Linked DNA regions of Anolis sagrei. The protein of the gene in region 1 purifies or fractionates together with the protein of each later gene. This does not show direct contact. Links are inferred from orthologs where the notes say so. Each region holds a gene or a part of one and is shown in the gene's direction. Other genes may lie near its edges.

Region 1 (10,763 bases):
GCATAAAAATAGTCCATTTAAACTTTTTAGAAATGATGTAGGCTTGTTGCAATGCAGTCCTTTTAGAAAGATGGCAATGGGAAAAAAGACAAAGAAAAACTGACCCACTTTACTGATGTAAAATGGTGCCATGTGCCTTGTTCTGGGACACATGTTTAGCTTTCCAGGGGTTTCATATTACAAGGATAGGAAGTGTGTAGCCCTCCAGATGCTGTTGGATCATACCCATCAGCAGACCTAGCCAATGTTCCCAATGATGAGAAGTGTTGGGAATTGCAGATGAATAGCATTGCAAGGTTCACATGATTTCTCCCTCTTATCATAGCTGTTAATTTTGAGAGTAATGACTTACAATTAATGTTATCTTAATTTGCTATTTTGGGGAAATACTCAGGGGACAGTCTGTATATTTTTTGCCATTCTAAATCATGCCAGAAATCTATTGTATGAATTAACTCAAATTAATCTCAATGGCTAATATAAACTAAATATTTTGATATGTTTGCACTACCAGTTGTTGATGCATTGAAGCTCTGATTTCAGGCTACCAAACAGTCATTTCTAAATGGGATCTTGGGATCCTTGTAATGGGTTGATGGCTTATCATTCACTACTGAAGTTGTCTGGAGTAAGCGTTATAACAATGTAATGCAAGAGAATGGAGGACCTGCAATTCACATTATAATGAGACTGAATAGGTGGATACCAAAGAAGAGCAATTTGTGAGTTATCACCAGTAGAACAATGTGCAATATGGATTACACATAGCAGAGTGTAAATTTAGGATCATCATGATTCAAAATTTATGTGATCTCAGAAGGCATCAGTTATGGGATGTTGGAGTGGACTGACTATTAGTTTGATTTTCCAGTACTTTTCCATAATTCCTAAGATATAGGTCCAACTCCATTAGAACCTACTCCTGGATAAGTTTCAAATCCAATCAACAATAGGGTTACACTGTTTACAGAAAACCCGCACACAGAGATAGATAGATACCTACATAAAAACTCCAACCATCACACAAGTCAAAAAAGAAATACCATTAAAGCCTTGGCAGACCGTGCAAAAAGAATCTGCAAATCCCACCTCCTCCGAGATGAACTGAACCACCTAAACCACCACACTTCCCAACAAAGGATTCCCCCAAGCAGGAAGCAGCCAGGCTTTGACACTGCAAGGCCGTTCAATGCTAATCAAGGTGGCCAATTGCAACATACACACCTGCTTCAAACAGACAAGAGTTCTTTCTCCCACCCCAGACATTCCACAGATATATAAACCTCAGTTGCCTAGTTTCCAACAGGTCTCACAACCTCTGAAGATGCCTGCCATAGATGTGGGTGAAATGTCAGGAGAGAATGCTTCTGGATCATGGCCATACAGTCCAGAAAACTCCCAGCAACCCAATTGTTCATATTGTTTGTGTTAAATGTTTTGATACGGCCAATAGGCCAATCAATAAAACGTATCTATCTATCTATCATATTGTTTGATTTGTTTGCCATTCTGAGGTTTCACGTTAAAAGGTCAGGATCAAAATATTTTAATAACAATTCATAAATTAAAAACTCACCACTTCAGTTGATGTATTTATTATTCAGATATGAGAAGAAGTTGTATAAGAGAAAGGGAGTAGTCTATGAAGTAAAGTACCAATACGGCATGGCAATTTACTACTAATGTGCAGGCACAATACATTTTGAAATGGGGACTACGGGCATCAATTCCCTCATTGCTGTGCCACCATGGCAACTGAAGGGAAATGCAAGTAGTTTACTTTCACAAGAGGCTGTATCTAGAGACTGAGAAGTGGATTTGCTGAGTCAGATCACTCACGGGGTTCTCCTTCATATACAAGTCTCTGGACCTCTCCATTTTGATCAAGAGGCAGTGAATATTTTAGTGTCACTCTGCTGAGCCATAAGATGCTTCCAGAGGATGCTTTCATTGTGCAATGTCTTCTCCACAGGTGGAGAGGCAGTATTCAGGTCTCACTGATTTCTCCATCTATTTGCAAACCACAAACTCCATTAAAAAGGGAGAAATTGAATAGCCGCCAAGTGCCTATAGATTGGTAGTAAGATCAACTGCTCAAGAACACCTTGGCACATGCTGCTGAGACATTTCAGGTGCATAAGGGATGCATCTACACTGTAGAATTAATACAGTTAATTGCTATGGAATTACAGAAATTGTGATGGAGCCCTCAGTGGTGCAGCGGATTAAACCACTGAGCTACTGAACTTGCTGATTGAAAGGGAATCTGGGAAGTGGGGTGAGCTCCCACTGTTAGCCCTAACTTCTGCCAACCCAGTATTACAAAAAATATGCAAATGTGAGTAGTTCAATAGATACTGCTCGGGCAGGAAGGTAATGGTGCATCTATGGACAATGCCAGGTCTTATGGCTTAGAAATGGAGATGAGCACCACCTCCCAGAGTCAGACACGATTAGACTTAATGTCAAGGGGAAACCTTTACTTTTACTACTTCATGGAAATTGTAGTTTTATATATTTTTTAGCCTTCTCTGCTAATAAGTGGTGGTGCCTAACCAAACTACAACTTCCAGTATTCCATAGTATTGAGTCATGGCTATGGAGCCCCCGGTGGCACAGGGGGTTAAACTCCTGTGCCGGCAGGACTAAAGATCAACAGGTCACAGGTCTGAATTTAGGGAGAGCATGGATGAACCCCCTCTGTCAGCTCCAGCTCCCCATGCGGGGGCATGAGAGAAGCCTCCCACAAGGATGATAAAACATCCAGGCATCCCCTGGGCAACATCCTTGCAGACAGCCAATTCTCTCACACCAGAAGCAAATTGCAGTTTCTCAAGTCACTCCTGACACGAAAAAATTCATAGTAATTAAAGTGGTGTCAAAATGCATATTTCTATGGTGAAGATGCAGCCAAGGTTTTGGCAGAGCCCACCCCACCCTCCTCCTGTCCATACATTTATTTATTTACTATATTTGTATACCGCTCTTCTCAGCCCTCAGGGTGACTCAGAGCGGTTCACAACAGCAAATACAATACTTAAAACATGATAAAAACAGGTGAGAACAATTTAAAAGAATAACATTATAACAATCAATAAGCATCAAACATCTCATATCATCTCATAGTTAAAATCAAGATCCAGTCTCATCATCCAATTGTTCCATATTTCTGTATTAGTTACACTGCCTATTCAAATGCCTGCTTGAATAACCAGGTCTTCAATTTCCTCCGAAATGTTAACAGGGAGGGGGCCGATCTAATTTCTGTAGGAAGGGCATTCCACAACCGAGGGGCCACCACTGAGAAGCCCCTGTCTCTCGTCCCCGCCAACCATACTTGTGATGCAGGTGGGACCGAGAGCAGGGCCTCCCCAGATGATCTTAACGTCCTAGCTGGTTCATAGGAAGAGATCTGTTCGGACAGGTAAGCAGAGTATGCATCTGCTCTATATCTCATTACTGTTTCCCTCTTTCCCATTTTAACATACAATACAGATGCCAAGGTATGTGAATTTGCATTTTGCTGGTGCCAGAAGGTAAAGGCTGCATCTACACTGTAGAATTAATACAGCTTGACAGAACTTTATCCGCCAGGTTCAAAGATGTGGGGTTTTTTGGAGCTGTAGTTTCATGAGCCATACAAGACCTTCTATAACCACAACACCCACGATTCCACAGCATTGAGCCATGACAGTCAAAATGGTGTGAAAAGGAATTTATTCTGCAGCAAAGCAAATAAAAATAATCAAGAATTATTATTAATAATAACTTATTTTTTACCCACGCCTCCTTATGCCTTGAGGCAGCAAATAATACTACACCCACAATGCTGTTTTTATGATCAAGTTTAGTTTGTTTTAATTTGCTTTTAATTATTGTATTTCAATATAAATATGAAGTCAATACAGAGTTTATGGTATAGTAGAGTATGACCGTAGTTAGGCTTATTTTAAATAGTAACTCTTAAGCAACTAGAAATTCAATTTATCAAGCACTTGCAATAATGTATTTTTGAAGGCTTTCATGGCTAGAATCACTGGGTTGTTGTAGGTTTTTCAGGCTGACCTTTCACCTGCATCTGTGGCAGGCATCCTCAGAGGTTGTTGGAAACTAGGAAAATTGGGTTTATATATCTGTGGAAGGTCCAGGGTGGGAGAAAAAACTCTTGTCTGGGTTGTTTTAGGTTTTTTCGGGCTGTATGGCCATGTTCTAGAATCTAGGGGAATTCTCTCCTGACGTTTCACCTGCATCTATGGCAAGCATCCTCAGAGGTTATGAGACCTCACAACCTCTGAGGATGCTTGCCATAGATGCAGGTGAAACATCAGGAGAGAATGCCTCTAGAACATGGCCATACAGCCCAAAAAACCTACAACAGCCCAGTGATTCCAGCCATGAAAGCCTTCGACAATACATTGAACTCTTGTCTGTTGGAGTTAGGTGTGAATGTTTCAATTGGCCACCTTGATTAGCATTTAATTCTGTGACATTTTTAGGTGTGGCTTATCACTTCCTGTTGAGAGGTGATTAGATGTTCCTGATTGTTTCTTGTCTGGAGTTCCCCAGTGTTTGAGATTTGTTCTTTATTTACTGTTATAATTTTAGAGTTTTTTTAAAATACTGTTAGCCAGATTTTGTTCATTTTCATGGTCTCTTCCTTTCTGTTGAAATTGTCCACATGCTTGTGGATTTCAATGGCTTCTCTGTGTAGTCTGACATGGTGGTTGTTGGTGTGGTCCAGCATTTCTGTGTTCTCAAATAATATGCTGTGTCCAGGCTGGTTCATCAGGTGCTCTGCTATGGCTGACTTCTCTGGTTGAAGTAGTCTGCAGTGCCTTTCATGTTCCTTGATGCGTGTCTGGGCGCTGCGTTTGGTGGCCCCTATGTAGACTTGTCCACAGCTGCATGGTATACAGTAGACTCCTGCAGAGGCGAGAGGATCCCTTTTGTCCTTTGCTGAACGCAGCAATAATCCTCCTGGGTTCCGGTGAAGGGAGCGTCTCCCATCTGACTTCCAAGGAGTGAGGATGAGCCTGCCTTTGGCACTGCCCTCCCAGCATCTTTTCTGGCCGGCTGCCTTGTGTCCTTCGCCTCCTTCCTCCCTCTCGTCATCTACGCTGCAGAACGGACCACCAGCAACAGGTTGTCTGGGTTGTTGTAGGTTTTCTGGGCTATATGGCCATGTTCTAGAAGCATTCTCTCCTGACGTTTCGCCTGCATCTATGGCAAGCATCCTCAGAGGTTGTGAGGTCTCACAACAGACTTCACAACCTCTGAGGATGCTTGCCATAGATGCAGGCGAAACGTCAGGAGAGAATGCTTCTAGAACATGGCCATATAGCCCGAAAAACCTACAACAACCCAGTGATTCCAGCCATGAAAGCCTTCGACAACAGGTTGTGTGTTTGATAGAAAGCCTTCGTCCCTTCCCGTGACTGTTTGGACTGTTTACCTTTATCCATAGAGCCGCGTGTATCCTTTCACCAGGAGCCTTGAAGCGGGATGGGTACGCGTGAGTATGCGAGGGTGCGTGTGGACGAGGAAGGAGCACAGCTCAATAAGAAAGCGGCTGATTCAGGAAGAGGGCGCGGGGATTGGATAATATGGTTGGATTGACTCCACAATGTTGAATCAATGCAGTTTGCTACCGCCTCAACTCTCCTGGTTCAATGCGATGGAATGCTGGGATTTGTAGTCTGTTCTCTCTTTGCATGTGTACCTGCATTTAGGATTGATTAGTTACGTTCCTCTTTATTATTTACTTGAAAGCACTTTGTTACAATACCGATGAGGAGTTCTTTTCAAAATTGGGTTGTTGTAGGTTTTTTCGGGCTATGTGGCCATATTCTAGAGGCATTCTCTCCTGACCTTTCGCCTGCATTTATGGCAAGCATCCTCAGAGGTTGTGAAGTCTGTTGTGAGGTCTGTGAGGTATCCAGGAGTAGGTTCTAATGGAGTTGGACCTATATCTTAGGAACTATGGAAAAGTACTGGAAAATCAAACTAATAGTGCACTCCAGCATCCCATAACTGATGCCTTCTGAGATCACATAAATTTAGAATCATGATTATCCTAAATTTACACTCTGCTATGCGTAATCCATATTTCACATTGTGGAATGTCCAGGGTGGGAGAAAGAACTCTTGTCTGTTTGAAGCAAGTGTGGATGTTGCAATTGACCGCCTTGATTAGCATTGAATGGCCTTGCAGCTTCAAGGCTTGGCTGCTTATTGCCCGGGGGAACTCTTTGTTGGGAGGTGGTTAGCTGGCCCTGATTGTTTCTTGTCTGGAACTCCCCCGTTTTTGAGTGCTGTTCTTTATTTACTGTTTTGATTTACTACAGCTCCTATGAGTCCATAGCATTCAGTCATGGCAGCTGAAAAGGGGTCAAACTGCATTCATTTTACGGTGTAGATCAGGCATGGGCAAGCTTGGGCCCTCCTGGTGTTTTGGACTTCAACTCCCACAATTCCTAACAGCCTCCCGACTGTTAGGAATTGTGGGAGTTGAAGTCCAAAAAGACTGGCATCCGACAGCCAATCAGCGCTTGCATCGAGCTTCCCCGTAAGGGCCAATGAGAAGATAGCTTTGTAAGATCCCGCTTCGGCATCCGATTGGTCGGCGGAGCGTGCGAGACGTACGGCGCGCAGGACCACGCATGCGCGGGACGCAGTGGCTAGTGAAACCGGGTGCTACGCTGACAGGGCCGCAGCCATCCTCGACCTAAAGTAGCGGCTTCCAGTCAGGTTTGCGGCCTCCCCTCGGGCGCCCTTCCGTCCCATCCTTTTCCTCTGCTGCTCCTGCCACTGTCGCTAACAGCAACATGTTCCTCACTCGCTCCGAGTACGACAGGTGAGTTGGGCCAGGAGGAGAAGGAGGCGCGGCCTGGTCCTGCCGGGGCTGAGTCACTCTGGGAGGCCCGGCGCGCTCCCTCGCTCGCTCGGCGTTTACATGCCAACGGAAGTGGGGGAGAGCTGCTTCCGCTTCTTCCTCCCCTTCCCCATTTTCTGGAGCCCACCACTTGGTTCCTTCAGTGGGACGAGGGGCCTTTGGGATGCGCTTAGTCACCCCTCTGAGCTTCCTTTTTGCACAGTCAAGGTTCTTCTACACTGTAGAATGAATGCAGTTTGACACCACTTCTCCCGGGAGTTGTAGTTTTAAAAGGTTTTTAGCCTTCAGTGCCAAAGAGTGTTGGTGGCTCCACAAACTACAATTCCCATTTTCCCCATAGCATTGAGCCATGACAGTTAAAATGGTGCCAAACTGCATTCATTCTCCTAAGGCAGTGGTTCTCAACCTGTGGGTCCCCAGATGTTTTGGCCTTCAACTCTCAGAAATCCTAACAACTGGTAAATTGGCTGGGCTTTCTGGGAGTTGTAGGCCAATACACCTGGGGACCCACAGGTTGAGAACCATGGTCCTAAGTCAGTGGTTTTCAACCTGGGGTCCCCAGATGTTTTTGGCCTTCAACTCTCAGAAATCCTAACAGCTGGTAAACTGGCTGGGCTTTCTGGGAGTTGTAGCCCAATGCACCTGGGGACCCACAGGTTGAGAACCATGGACCTAAGGCATCTTGTTCAGCATGCACACTAGATACATAGGCACCATCTATATCAGGCCTGCAGAACTCATGGTCCTCCAGGTGTTTTGAACTTCAGCTCTCTAAATTCATGACCATTGGAAAAGCTGGCTAAGACTTCTGGGGGTTGAAATCTTAAATACCAGGAAGGCCAGAGATTGTGTAGGCCCGATTTGTACTGTTAATGCAGTTTGACAACACTTTCACTTCTGTGGTTTAATATAACCCCCTCACCCCCTACCAAAAATAAAAACAACAATAATATAGAGCCACAGATGTTAAAGTATCAAACTGCATCAATTCTACAGTGTAGAGCAGGCATGGGCAAACTTTGTCCCTACCGGCTGTTAGGAATTGTGGGAATTGGAGTCCAAAACACCTGGAGGGTAGAGGCATCAATAGCTAATATTTATTACAAAGACATCTGTCATTATACAGCTTGAGTATCCTTTATCCAGAAACCTGAAATGTTCCAAACTTGTCCACGTGGGTGACTGTAATAGTGACACCTTTGCTTTCTGATGGTTCAGCATACACTAACTTTGCTTCATGCACATACATTTTTTAAAATATTGTTTGTAAAATTACCTTCCGGCTAGGTGAATATGAACCAGAAATTAATTTCATGTTTAACTCAGGTTCCATCTCCAAGCTATCTCACTGCAGAATCATAGAAACAAAGAATTGGATGAGACCATTGAGGTCTTCTAGTCATTATATAGATTACTCACAGTAACCTATCTCTTTTTTATTTGTGTTTCCAATATGCTCACCAATAGGCAAAGGAACAAGTGATTTGTTGCTGGAGAGGTTTATGTCCCTTTTTTCAAATTGTATGCTAATTAGAAATGTATATATAAAGGTCCCCTGTATTTATCATAGATCTCAAGGTAGTAGTAAGTTAACATATTCCTGTTCAGGGCAAACAGAGCTAACTGCATTGTGCAACAATAAAGTACTGTCTCAGTTGCTGAGTAGGAAAGGCCTCAACCAGTTTCCTTAGTCATAGTGAGAAGCTTTTGCTTTCAGTTACACTGAGCTGGGCTGAACTTATTAATCATTCATCCTTCTACATGAGATGAAGCTAAATGTTACATAAGAAAATAACTTGGAAATGTATTGTAAAGAAAGAAAAAGAAAACTAGAAAATTTAAATTAGTTATATAGAGAATATCAAATAAATTTATAGAGTCCTGCTAATATTAATTTTATAAACAAATACTAAATGAAGGGCCTTCTCACTGCTCAAGTGTCTTCAGGCCCCTCTTACCCTGCCTTAAAATCCAGATTATCAAAGCAGATAATGCACATTATGTGCTTTTATCTGAATTATATGAATCTACTCTGCCATATAATTTGGTTCAAAGCAGATAATCTGGATTTTATATGGCAGTGTACAATGGGCCTTAGCGTGTTATCCTGCTAAGAGAAATGCACCTTTTTATATGTTGAAGTTGTCTCATTCTTTAGGGAATCTAAATGTTACTTCTTTAATTCTTGCAATTTTTAATTTGTTTTATAGTTTCATTAAAAAAATTAATATAAGTTAATTTTAAAATTATTTAAAGCTACACATTTTTGCGGAAATATTTCATATTAATTTAATAAAGAGACATTACCAAGTACACTGGAAACTTGGAGTAAGGCTAATGTGATCACACTTTGATCTCTTTTGCTTTGGCCTTACCCTGAACAATTTTCATGTTTTGTTGATGTTTTGTATCTTAGGTTTTCAACAGGTTGTTCTGTTGATTAGAAATGAAATGAATAAATAAATGCCCTTGCTTTAATGCAGTCAGTACCATTATTTCAATTGAATATGTGATCTGCTGGCACATGTCTTTAGCATTGTTGAAGATTTTGGTCCTAGGAACATTAAATTCTGAGTAAACATGCATAGTATTAGGTTATACATTTGACTTTTGTCTTCCAATTATAGGGGTGTGAACACTTTTTCTCCAGAGGGAAGATTATTCCAGGTGGAATATGCCATTGAAGCTATCAAGGTACAATAAACATTTGAAACGATTGTCTTAAATATTTCCACATCCATTCTACAAGGATGGATGGATTGGAATGGGAAATCTCAAAGATTAAACTGCAGAATTTCAGCAATGTGCTCCCAAATATGTATTTTTGAATTCAGAAATATTTTTTTTTTCATGTGATCTTTTGCTATATACAGTTGCATACTTCTGGAATATTAATTTGAGTAATTCCTTGAGAGTTACTGTAGGTAGGGGAGGGAAAGAAGATTGCTCACAGGAGGCCTAGGACTGACCATGAAAGTCAGATAATATCTTCTCATATATTACTTCCAAAAAAAATTCTAAAGTCATTCCAATATACCTTTTTGCATACTGTAAAAGGCATGAAACTTCTCTCTCTGTCTTTCTCTCCTTCTCTTACCAGAATTACACACTTAGCTCACACTAGGCTTTAATGTTTCTGCTTTACAATATAGCTGTTTTAAATTGGTTTGTAGCACTTTCGTCCAGACTGCATTAGAATTCATTTTAATGAATTTGGCATAGAAACTTCATAGAAGAGAGCAACTAGTCATCTTCATTATGAATTTGTGCTTAGATTGTGGAGCCAATACATATTGTGTACTACTGTCTCGTCTGATATATTGATGTGATTTTACCTGTATTTCATGTGGTTATGGCACTTGTATGTGCTTCTGTAAGCCACCTCAAGTCCTTCTTGGCGGGTATAAATAAAGTTTTTTAATTATTATGATTATTATTACCATAGTTTTGTGTATGTTTAGTTATGTCATACACTTTTTATCTTAGTCATAACACCCATGTGATCAAAAAGAAAGGATTTAAAAAGTAATGATTTTGAATGTTTAAACCAGGGAGTGACACAGTATAGCCCTGTAGTGTTCAGCCCTCCAGATTTTGTTGGACTGGAATGCCCATAAGCCTCAACTACCGCTACTGACAACCCATTAATATGTGGAGGGCTGAATTTTGCACACTCCTGCTTTAAGGCTTCGACAGAGGCTTTCTGTAGTCAAACCTTTGTACATTTGGCTTCCCTACAAGCACCATTCCCTGGTCATCTCTGTGTACTGTGCTGCAGTATTTTGTGATGTTTCTTAGTATACTGATGTATATTTGGGACAGGTGAAAAAACAGCACCTTGTTACATCAATGGACAGCTTATCTAAATAAA
Region 2 (10,872 bases), on another chromosome or scaffold:
ATTCTTGTTGCCATAATCTTGGTTGTTTTGATGTTTAACTGCAACCCAGCTTTTGCGCTTTCTTCTTTCACCTAGATTAGAAGGCTCCTCAGCTCCTCCTCGCTTTCGGCCATCAAAGTGGTATCATCTGCATATCTCAGGTTGTTAATGTTTCTTCCAGCAATTTTCACCCCAGCCTTGCATTTGTCAAGCCCCGCTTGATGTGTTCTGCATACAAGTTGAATAGGTTGGGGAAGAGGATACAACCCTGTCGTACACCTTTTCCAATCTTGAACCAATATGTTGTTCCATGGTCAGTTCTTACTGTTGCTACTTGGTCCTTATACAGAATCATATACGGGTTGTTGTAGGTTTTTTCGGGCTATATGGCCATGGTCTAGAGGCATTCTCTCTTGATGTTTTGCCGGCATCTATGGCAAGCATCCTCAGAGGTAGTGAGGTCTGTTGGAACTAGAAAAATGGGTTTCTATATCTGTGGAATGACCAGGGTGGGACAAAAGACTCTTGTCTGCTGGAGCTAGGTGTGAATGTTTCAACTGACCACCTTGATTAGCATATAATGGCTTGACAGTGTCTTGCTTTGACAGTGCCTAGAGCAAACTTTTGTTGAGAGGTGATTAGATGTCCTTGTTTGTTTCCTCTCTGTTGTTGAGCTGTTGTAATTTTAGAGTTTTTAATACTGGTAGCCAGATTTTGTTCATTTTCATGGTTTCCTCCTTTCTGTTGAAATTGTCCACATGCTTGTGGATTTCGATGGCTTCTCTGTGTAGTCTGACATGGTGGTTGTGAGAGTGGTCCAGCATTTCTGTGTTCTCAAATAATATGCTGTGTCCAGGTTGGTTCCTCAGGTGCTCTGCTATGGCTTGACTTCTCTGGTTGAATTACCTTGCAGTGCCTTTCATGTTCCTTGATGCGTATCTGGGCAATGCTGCTGCGTTTGGTGGTCCCTATGTAGACTTGTCCACAGCTGCATGGGATACGGTAGACTCCTGCAGAGGTGAGAGGATCCCTCTTGTCCTTTGCTGAACGTAACATTTGTTGGATTTTCTTGGTGTTTCTGTAGATAGTTTGTATGTTGTATTTCCTCATCAGCTTCCCTATGCGGTCAGTGGTTCCCTTGATGTATAGCAAGCACACTTTTCCTCTGGGTGGATCTTCGTCAATACATAGAATCATATATATCTATCTATATTTTTGACTGGATGACTCTTTGTCAGGAGGGCTTTGATTACATTTTCTTGCCCTAGTGAAGATAGTCGGACTGGATGACCTTAAATATTTTCTGTCAGTCATCAGGGTTCTGTGTGGGAAATTTGCCCCAATTCTGTCGTTTGTGGGGTCCAGAATGCTCTTTGATTGTAGGTGAACTATTTATTTATTTATTTATTTATGGTGTCATCAGCAACCATACCATTGTATTACAATTCTAACAGAGCAAAGCAAACACACAGATTAAAAAGAAAAAGAAAAAAACCCACAGATTTTGCAAATTTGGTAGTTGATTAAATGTCCTTTGACCAGTATCTGGCCACTTGGAGTGCCTCTGGTGTTGCCGCAAGAAGGTCCTCCATTGTGCATGTGGCAGGGCTCAGGTTGCATTGCAGCAGGTGGTCAGTGGTTTGCTCTTCTCCCCACTCGCATGTCGTAGATTCCACTTTGTAGCCTCATTTCTGAAGGTTGGCTCTGCATCTCGTGGTGCCAGAGCGCAGTCTGTTCAGCGCCTTACAAGTCGCCCAGTCTTCTGTGTGCCCACGGGGGAGTCTCTCATCTGGTATCACCCATGGATTGAGGTGCTGGGTTTGGGCCTGCCACTTTTGGACTCTCACTTGCTGGGGTGTTCCAGCGAGTGTCTCTGTAGATCTAAGAAAACTATGTCTTGATTGAAGTCGTTGACGTGCTGGCTGATACCCAAACAGGGGATGAGCTGGAGATGTCTCTGCCTTGGTCCTTTCACTATTGGCTGCTACTTCCCGGCGGATGTCAGGTGGTGCAATAACGGCTAAGCAGTGTAATTTCTCCATTGGTGTGGGGCGCAGACACCCTGTGATAATGCGGCATGTTTCATTAAGAGCCACATCCACTGTTTTAGCGTGGTGAGATGTGTTCCACACTGGGCATGCATACTCAGCAGCAGAGTAGCACAGCGCAAGGACAGATGTCTTCACTGTGTCTGGTTGTGATCCCCAGGTTGTGCCAGTCAGCTTTCGTATCCAGAAGCAACCAGAGGTGAACTATAAATCCCAGCAACTACAACTCCCAAATGACAAAATCAAATTTTTTTTAGTGAAGGACGTAAATTGGGTTGTTAGGTGTATTGTGTCCAAATTTGGTGCCAATTCGTCCAGTGGGTTTTGAGTTCTGTTAATCCCACAAACGAACATTCCATTTTTATTTATATAGATAACATTTAACATGATATATTCCTTTAAATAGACATTTAACTTTTATGTATTATATAGTTTTTAAAAATATATAACTTTATTGTATTGTATAGATCTTTAAATACATATATTAGACTTTTAACTTTGGCCTTTACAGATTATATATTCTATTAAATATATATTTAACTTTTATTTATTATAGTCCCTTTAATATACAGTTCAAAGCAGGCCTGGGCCAACTTGGGCCCTCCAGGTGTTTTGGACTACAACTCCCACAATTCCTAACAGCCTCAGGCCCCTTCCTATGGAAGGGGCCTGAGGCTGTTAGGAATTGTGGGAGTTGTAGTCCAAAACACCTGGAGGGCCCAAGTTGGCCCAGGCCTGCCTTAAAATTACTATTTCCTTTGAATACATACTTAACTTTTAACTATCTATTCCTTTAAATATACATTTAACTTGTATATAGGAATGGGAAGGAGAAACCCCTCAACAAGGGGTCCTGCTTACCAATTAGAGCCGGAAGTGGAGCCCCTTCCTCCTCCAAAGAGCCCAACAGCTGAGGACTGAAGCGGAAGAGCCAAAAGGAACGGAAAACGAAAGGGAAGGGCAAGGCTAAGCTGGCAGGAGGACGCCGACAGCGGCACCGTCTGGCGGGAGGAAGAACTGCAGCTCCACTACTGAGCCAAGCCAGACGGGAAATCCTTTCGACCAGGATGTCTCTGCGCATGCTCAGAATGCTTGGGGATTCCAGTATTGGGAAAGTGTCTTGCTTTTTGTTGTCATCATCTTCATTGGGGGAGGTGGATATAAGAACTGCTAAGCTCATAAAGCACTCTGCACTTGGTCAGAGGCATTGCAATGCAAACTTAAATAAGAAAGACTGGAAAAGGAGATCTGCCTATATTCCTAAAAGCACTCTGCACTTGGTCAGAGGCATTGCAATGCAAACTTAATAGTAAAGACTGGAAAAGGAGATCTGCCTATATTCCTAAAAGCACTCTGCACTTGGTCAGAGGCATTGCAATGCAAACTTAATAGTAAAGACTGGAAAAGAAGATCTGCCTATATTCCTAAAAGCACTCTGCACTTGGTCAGAGGCATTGCAATGCAAACTTAAATAGTAAAGACTGGAAAAGGAGATCTGCCTATATTCCTAAAAGCACTCTGCACGTGATCAGAGGCATTACAATGCAAACTATACCTTGGGGGGGGGGAGGTGGATATAAGAACTGCTAAGCTCATAAAGCACTCTGCACTTGGTCAGAGGCATTGCAATGCAAACTTGGATGGGGAAGACTGGAAAAGATCTGCCTATCTTCCTGAAAGCACTCTGCACATGGTCAGAGGCATTGCAATGCAAACTTAGATGGGGAAGACTGGAAAAGGACATCTGCCTATATTCCTAAAAGCACTCTGCACATGGTCAGAGGCATTGCAATGCAAACCTAAGCGGGAAACAATGGAAAAGGAGGTCTGCCTCTATTCCAAAATACACTCAGTGACATTACAATGCAAACCTACCCTGCTTGTATTCTAAAATACACTCTGCGCATGGTCAGAGGCACTACAATGCAAACCTAAATGGGGGAGAATGGATAAGTCGATTGGTCTGTACTCCAAAATGCACTCTGCATATGGTCAGAGGCATTGCAATGCAAACTTAAATGGGGAAGAATGGAAAAGGGGACCTGCCTGTAGTCCAAAAGGCACTTTGTGCATGCTCAGAGGCATGGCAATGCAAACTTAAATGGAGAAAACTGGAAAGGGAAATCTGCCTTTAGTCCAAAAGGAACTCTGTGCATGGTCAGAGGCATTACAATGCAAACCTAACCGGGGACTGGAAAGGGAGCTCTGCCTATATTCCTAAAAGCACTCTGCACATGGTCAGAGGCATTACAATGGGGAAGACTGGAAAAGGAGCTCTGCCTGGACTCCCAAAGGCACTCTATGCATGCTCTGAGGCATTGCAATGCAAACTTGAATGAGGAAGAATGGAAAGGGAGCTTTGCCTGTACTCCAAAAGGCACTCTGTGCATGCTCAAAGACATTACAGTGTAAACTTAAATGCAGAAGACTGGAAAAGGAGATCTGCCTATAGTCCAAAGTATGGAAAAGGAAACCTATTTGTACTCTGTACATGCTCTGTACATGCTCAGAGGCTCTGCCTGTACCCCAAAAGGCTCACTGTGCATGCTCAGAGGCACTGCAATGCAAACTTAAATGGGGAAGAATGGAAAAGAAGATTGACATGTACTCCAAAAGACACTCTGTGTATGATCAGAGGCATTGCAATGCAAACTTAGATTGGAAAGAATGGAAAAGGAGCTCTGCCTGTACCCCAAAAGGCACTCTGTGCATGCTCAGAGGCATTGCAATGCAAACTTAAATGGAGAAGAACTGAAAAGGAGCTCTGCCTGTACTCTAAAAGGCACTCTGTGCATGCTCAGAGGCATTGCAATGCAAATTTAAATTGGGAAGAATGGAAAAGGAACTCTGTGCATGCTCAGAGGCATTGCAATGGAAACTTAAATGGAGAAGAATTGAAAAGGAGATCTGCCTGTAGTCCAAAAGGAACTCTATGCATGCGCAGAGGCATTGCAATACAAATTTAAATGGGGAAGAATGGAAAAGGAACTCTGTGCATGCTCAGAGGCATTGCAATGCAAACATAGATGGGGAAGAATGGAAAAGGAATTCTGTGCATGCTCAGAGGCATGGCAATGCAAATCTAAATGGATAAGATCAAAAAAGAAGGATCTGCCTGCAGTCCAAAAGGAACTCTGTGCATGCTCAGAGGCATTGCAATGCAAACTTAAATGGAGAAGAATGGAAAAGGAGATCTGCCTTTAGTCCAAAAGGAACTCTGTGCATGCTCAGAGGCATTGTAATGCAAACTTAAATGGAGAAGACTGGAAAGGGAAAACTGCCTTTAGTCCAAAAGGAACTCTGTGCATGCTCAGAGGCATTGTAATGCAAACTTAAATGGAGAAGACTAGAAAGGGAAAACTGCCTGTAGTCCAGAAGGCACTCTCTACATGCTCAGAGTTATTACAATGGGGAAGAGTGGAAAAGATCTGCTTGTAGTCCAAAAGGAACTCTGTGCATGCTCAGAGGCATTGTAATGCAAACTTAAATGGAGAAGCCTGGAAAGGGAAATCTGCCTTTAGTCCAAAAGGAACTCTGTGCATGCTCAGAGCCATTGCAATGCAAACTTAGATTGGAAAGAATGGAAAAGGAGCTCTGCCTGTACTCCAAAAGGAACTCTGTGCGTGCTCAGAGGCATGGCAATGCAAACTTAAATGGAGAAGACCTGAAAGGAAAATGGAAAAGGAGACCTGCCTGTAGTCCAAAAGGAACTCTGTGCATGCTCAGAGGCGTTGCAATGCAAACTTAGATGGGGAAGAATGGAAAAGGAACTCTGTGCATGATCAGAGACATTGCAATGAAAACTTAAATGGAGAAGACTGGAAAGGAACTCTGTGCATGCTCAGAGACACGGCAATTAAAACTTAAATGGGGAAGAATGGAAAAGGAGCTCTGCTTGTAGTCGAAAAGGCACTCTGCACATGGTCAGAGTTATTACAATGGGGAAGAATGGAAAAGGAGATCTGCCTGTAGTCCAAAAGGCACTCTGTGCATGCTCAGAGGCATTGCAATGCAAACTTAAATGGAGAAGAATGGAAAAGGAGCTCTGCCTGCAGTCCAAAAGGCACTCTGCGCATGGTCAGAGGCACCCCTGCCTGGAGGGCGGGGCAGCCCTCGCGTGGTGGGCGGAAACGTGTGAATGCGAAAGCGAAAGACGCGTCAAAAGGTGGCTCAGCGTTTGGGGAAGGAGCCTGCTTGGTCTTTGCCTTGAACCTCTCCCTGGAAGCCTCCAAACCAAGCCATCATGCCCAGGTCCTGCACCTCCCTCCAGATCAGCAAGGAGACCCAAGGAAAGGTGGGCATCCCAGGGGAATCCATGGGGGGCAAGAGCAAAGCCCAGAAAGGGATTTGGGGAGAGAAAGCAGAGAAAGAAGGTCAATGACTTTTACTTTTACTTTGGAAGGGAGGGGGATTTCCATGGTAAACAAAGATAAGGGAAGTTAGCATTCAGGTGGACTACAAGTCCCATCATCTCCATCATTTAGTTTCAGAATACAGATTGAATTGGTTTATATGGATCTATAAGCATGGGCAAACTTGGGCCCTCTGGGTGTTTTGGACTCCAACTCCCACAATTCCTAACAGCCGGTAGGCTGTTAGGAATTGTGGGAGTTGGAGTCCAAAACACCCAGAGGGCCCAAGTTTGCCCATGCTTATAGATCCATATAATTCAATTCAATCTGTATTCTGAAACAATTCATATTTTTTTGTTTTGATCTCTTTCCAGATGGACCTTTTCCGGAAATCGCTTTTAAAAGAGGTAAGTGACTATTACTCCTGGTGGCGCAGCGGGTTAAACCGCTGAGCTGCTGACCGAAAAGTCGGCGGTTCGAATCCGGGGTGAGCTCCTGCTGTTAGCCCTAGCTTCTGCCAACTTAGCAGTTTGAAAACATGCAAATGTGAGTAGATCAATAGGTACCACTCTGAATCCATTTTGAGCTCTCGCTGTTAGCCCCAGCTTCTGCCAAGCTAGCAGTTTGAAAACATGCAAATGCGAGTAGATCAATAGGTACTGCTCCAAATCCAGCGTGAGCATCCTCAGAGGTTGTGAGGTCTGTTGGAAAGTGGGGTTGATATATCTGTGGTATAGTGTCCAGGGTGGGAGAAAGAACTCTTGTCTGCTGGAGCTAGGTGTGAATGTTTCAATTGGCCACCTTGTTTAGCATTTAATGGTCTTACCAGTTTTCGAAGTATAATTTCTTACTGCCTGGGGGAATCCTTTGTTGGGAGATGGTTAGTTGTCCCTGACTCTTTCTTGTCTGGAGTTCCTCTATTTTTGAATGTTGTTCCTTATTTACTGTTATGATTTTAGAGTAATATAGCAGTCTTCGCCTCATAAAAAATAATTCAATATAATTTTCCGAATCAGTGCCCCAAATAACCCCAGGAACAGGTGGTCAATTGCAACATTCACTTGTCTCCAACAGACAAGAGTTCTTTCTCCTACCCTGGGCACTATTCCACAGGTAAATGAACCCCACTTGCCTAGTTTCCAACAGACCTCCCAATCTCTGAGGATGCCTGCCATAGATGTGGGTGAAACGTCAGGAGAGAATGCTTCTGGAAGTCCAAAATTCACTGCATTAATTTGACAGTGTAGATGCACCCCTTGTTTTCAAATTTCTCAATCTTTCATATTCTCAAGCTAACTTTATTCTCGCATTTTCCTCCTGGGCAGGAAGCAGCCAGGCTTTGAGGCTGCAAGGATATTCAGTGGTAATCAAGGTGGTCAATTGCAACATTCACTTGTCTCCAACAGACAAGAGTTCTTTCTCCCACCCTGGACATTATTCCACAGATATACAAACCTCACTTGCTTAGTTTCCAACAGACCTCCCAACCTCTGAGGATGCCTGCCATAGATGTGGGTGAAACGTCAGGAGAGAATGCTTCTGGAAGTCCAAAATTCACTGTACTAATTTGACAGCGCAGATGCACCCCTTGTTTCAAAATTTCCCAATCTTTCATATTCTCAAGATAATTTTATTCTTGCATTTCCTGATTAGGGTGAAGAATTCCTTTGCCGTTTTTTACCTGCGAAAATATCACAGTTGGACCAGTTCTTGAAGGTAAGCGACGGACCCCCACATCCCACCTTTTTGAGTATTCCTGGTGCATCTAAATAATAGAATTAATGATGCTTGACACATTTTAACTTCCATGGCTTAATGCTATGGGGTTGTGGGAGTTGTAGTTTTCACAAGGCCTTCAGCCCTCTCTGCCAGAGTTCTGGTGCCTCACCAAACTACAACTCCCAGGATCCATAGCAGTTAAAGTGGTATCCAACTGCATTAACTCTGCAGTGTAGTTGCACCTTGAGTTTATGATCTCTGCTTTTTTCCTTGTAATATATTTATTTTTGTCTCTTTTTTTCCCCAGGAAGATGCGCTGAATGTCAAAGATCTGACCTCTCTCCATGCTCCGCTGGATATTCCCATTCCAGATCCTCCTCCCAAAGATGACGAGGTGAGGTATTCAAGTAAAGCCAGTGCCCAATTTTGGGTCTATCCCAGGTATGGGCCAACTGTAGCCCTCCAGGTGTTTTGGACTTCAACTCCCACAATTCCTAACAGCCGGTAGGCTATTAGGAATTGTGGGAGTTGGAGTCCAAAACACCTGGAGGGCCAAAGTTTGATACATCCCCAACGCAGAATTTATTAAAATGGGGTTGGACTAGATGACCTTTGAGGGTATCCCTTCCAAGATTCTATTATTTTTAATATTTTTTCCCTACCAATTAAGAAATTCTAGTGTTTCCTATAAGTTCAACGCTTGATGTTGTCGAGTCTGTTTTTGTTCCCCCTCCAGATGGAAACAGAGAAGGAAGAGAAAGAAGGTGAGCAAACAACACTATTGGAAAGTCAGGGAATTGGGGTCTGTAGGTGGGATCTGTAGGTATAGGATTAAAGCACTGAGCTGCTGAGCTTGTTGATCGAAAGGTCGCAGGTTCGATTCCGGGGAGCGGCGTGAGCTTCCACTGTCAGCCCTAGCTTCTGCCAACCTAGCAGTTCGAAAACATGCAAATGTGAGTAGATCAATAGGTACCGCTCCGGCGGGAAGGTAACGGCGCTCCATGCAGTCATGCCGGCCACATGACCTTGGAGGTGTCTATGGACAACGCTGGCTCTTTGGCTTAGAAATGGAGATGAGCACCACACCCCAGAGTCAGACATGACTGGACTTAATGTCAGGGGACTACCTTTACCTTTACCTTTAGGTGGGATAATAATGATAGTCTTTTATGGCTTGCCCTTGATTATTTGGTTTCCTTCTCAGCTCCCAAATGCGGCTACCTGAAAGGCAACGAAGCCATCCTGTCGCTTTTGGATCGCGTCAAACCCGAAGTGCGGGAGTTCAAGGAGAAATGCGCCTTGGTGAGTTGGAACCAAGCAAATGCTCTGTTTACAAGATGGAATACGTACTAAACATTTGTATGGTGCTAGATGTGCTGCTGTCCTAAATTTGTGCCTCGGTTTCCCCTTCTCGTTCCATCAGGTCACCACCTGGATTCAGTTCATGATTCCCAAAATTGAAGACGGCAATGATTTTGGGGTGGCGGTTCAGGTAAGATCCATGGAGATCTGTATGTCCCTGGACCCAATTGAGCATGGACCCCTTGCATCCATAATATACTATACTATACTATAATTTTTTTTTGTCGTGTCAGGAGTGACTTGAGAAACTGCAAGTCGCTTCTGGTGTGAGAGAATTGGCTGTCTGCAAGGATGTTGCCCAGGGGACGCCCGGATGATTTTGATGTTTTTATCATCCTTGTGGGAGGCTTCTCTCATGTCCCCGCATCAGGAGCTGGAGCTGATAGAGGGAGCTCATCCGCCTCTCTCCGGATTCGAACCTGCGACCTGTCGGTCTTCAGTCCTGCCGGCATAGGGGTTTAACCCACTGCGCCACCGGGGGCTCCACATACTATACAACAATATAATATAATATAATATAATATAATATAATATAATATAATATAATATAATATAATATAATATAATATATAATAATAATATAATATTATATAATATATAATAATATAATATAATATAAAACATAACATAACATATACTGATGTGTGTGAGTGTGTGTATACTCACCCCTATACAAACAAAGATATGCATACACACACATATATACACACAAGCATATACTCATGCACATACAAATTTATACACACATGCGCACCTATATGGATACACAGATTTATGCACACTTGTATATATGTATATACACATACACACAACACATAGACACATATGCATGCCATAGAACAGTGGTTCTCAACCTTCCTAAGACTGTGACCCCTTAATGCAGTTCCTCATGTTGTGGTGACCCCCAACCACAACATTATTTTTGTTGCAATTGTAATTTTGCTACTATTATGAATTGTAATGTAAATATCTGATATGTAGGGTGTATTTTCATTCACTTGACCAAATTTGGCACAAATACCCAATACGCCCAAATTTGAATACTGGTGGGGCTGTGGGGGAGATTGATTTTGTCATTTGGGAGTTGTAGTTACGGCAGTTTATGGTTCATTTCAATTCAAAGAGCATTCTGAACTTCACCAGCAATGCAACTGAACCGGACTTGGCACACATAACTCTTATGACCAACATAAAATACTGGAAGGGTTTGTTGGGCATTGACCTTGAGTTTTAGAGCTGTAGTTCACCTACATCCAGAGAGCACTGTGAACTCCATCAATGATGTATCTGGACCAAACTTGGCACGAATACTCAATAGGCCCAAATGTGAACACTGGTGAAGTTTGGGGAAAATAGACCTTGACATTTGGGAATTGTAGTTTCTGGGATTTATAGTTCACTTTCAATCAAAG

Evidence for each region.
Region 2: the proteins of PSMA5 (region 1) and PSME2 purify together in Homo sapiens (co-immunoprecipitation; 5 studies listed by BioGRID and IntAct, with this or other methods). This does not show direct contact. The link is inferred for Anolis sagrei from reciprocal best matches to the Homo sapiens genes PSMA5 and PSME2.

What each region holds. Positions count from the first base shown.
Region 1 is NC_090024.1:184,747,779-184,758,541, forward strand, and holds the start of PSMA5 (proteasome subunit alpha type-5), read left to right. Parts: upstream 1-6,635; 5' UTR 6,636-6,824; coding exon 6,825-6,853; intron 6,854-9,519; coding exon 9,520-9,586; intron 9,587-10,763. UniProt on the Homo sapiens protein: Component of the 20S core proteasome complex involved in the proteolytic degradation of most intracellular proteins. This complex plays numerous essential roles within the cell by associating with different regulatory particles.
Region 2 is NC_090026.1:8,178,228-8,189,099, forward strand, and holds the start of PSME2 (proteasome activator complex subunit 2), read left to right. Parts: upstream 1-6,138; 5' UTR 6,139-6,270; coding exon 6,271-6,321; intron 6,322-6,753; coding exon 6,754-6,786; intron 6,787-8,032; coding exon 8,033-8,095; intron 8,096-8,405; coding exon 8,406-8,492; intron 8,493-8,834; coding exon 8,835-8,862; intron 8,863-9,302; coding exon 9,303-9,400; intron 9,401-9,521; coding exon 9,522-9,590; intron 9,591-10,872. UniProt on the Homo sapiens protein: Implicated in immunoproteasome assembly and required for efficient antigen processing. The PA28 activator complex enhances the generation of class I binding peptides by altering the cleavage pattern of the proteasome.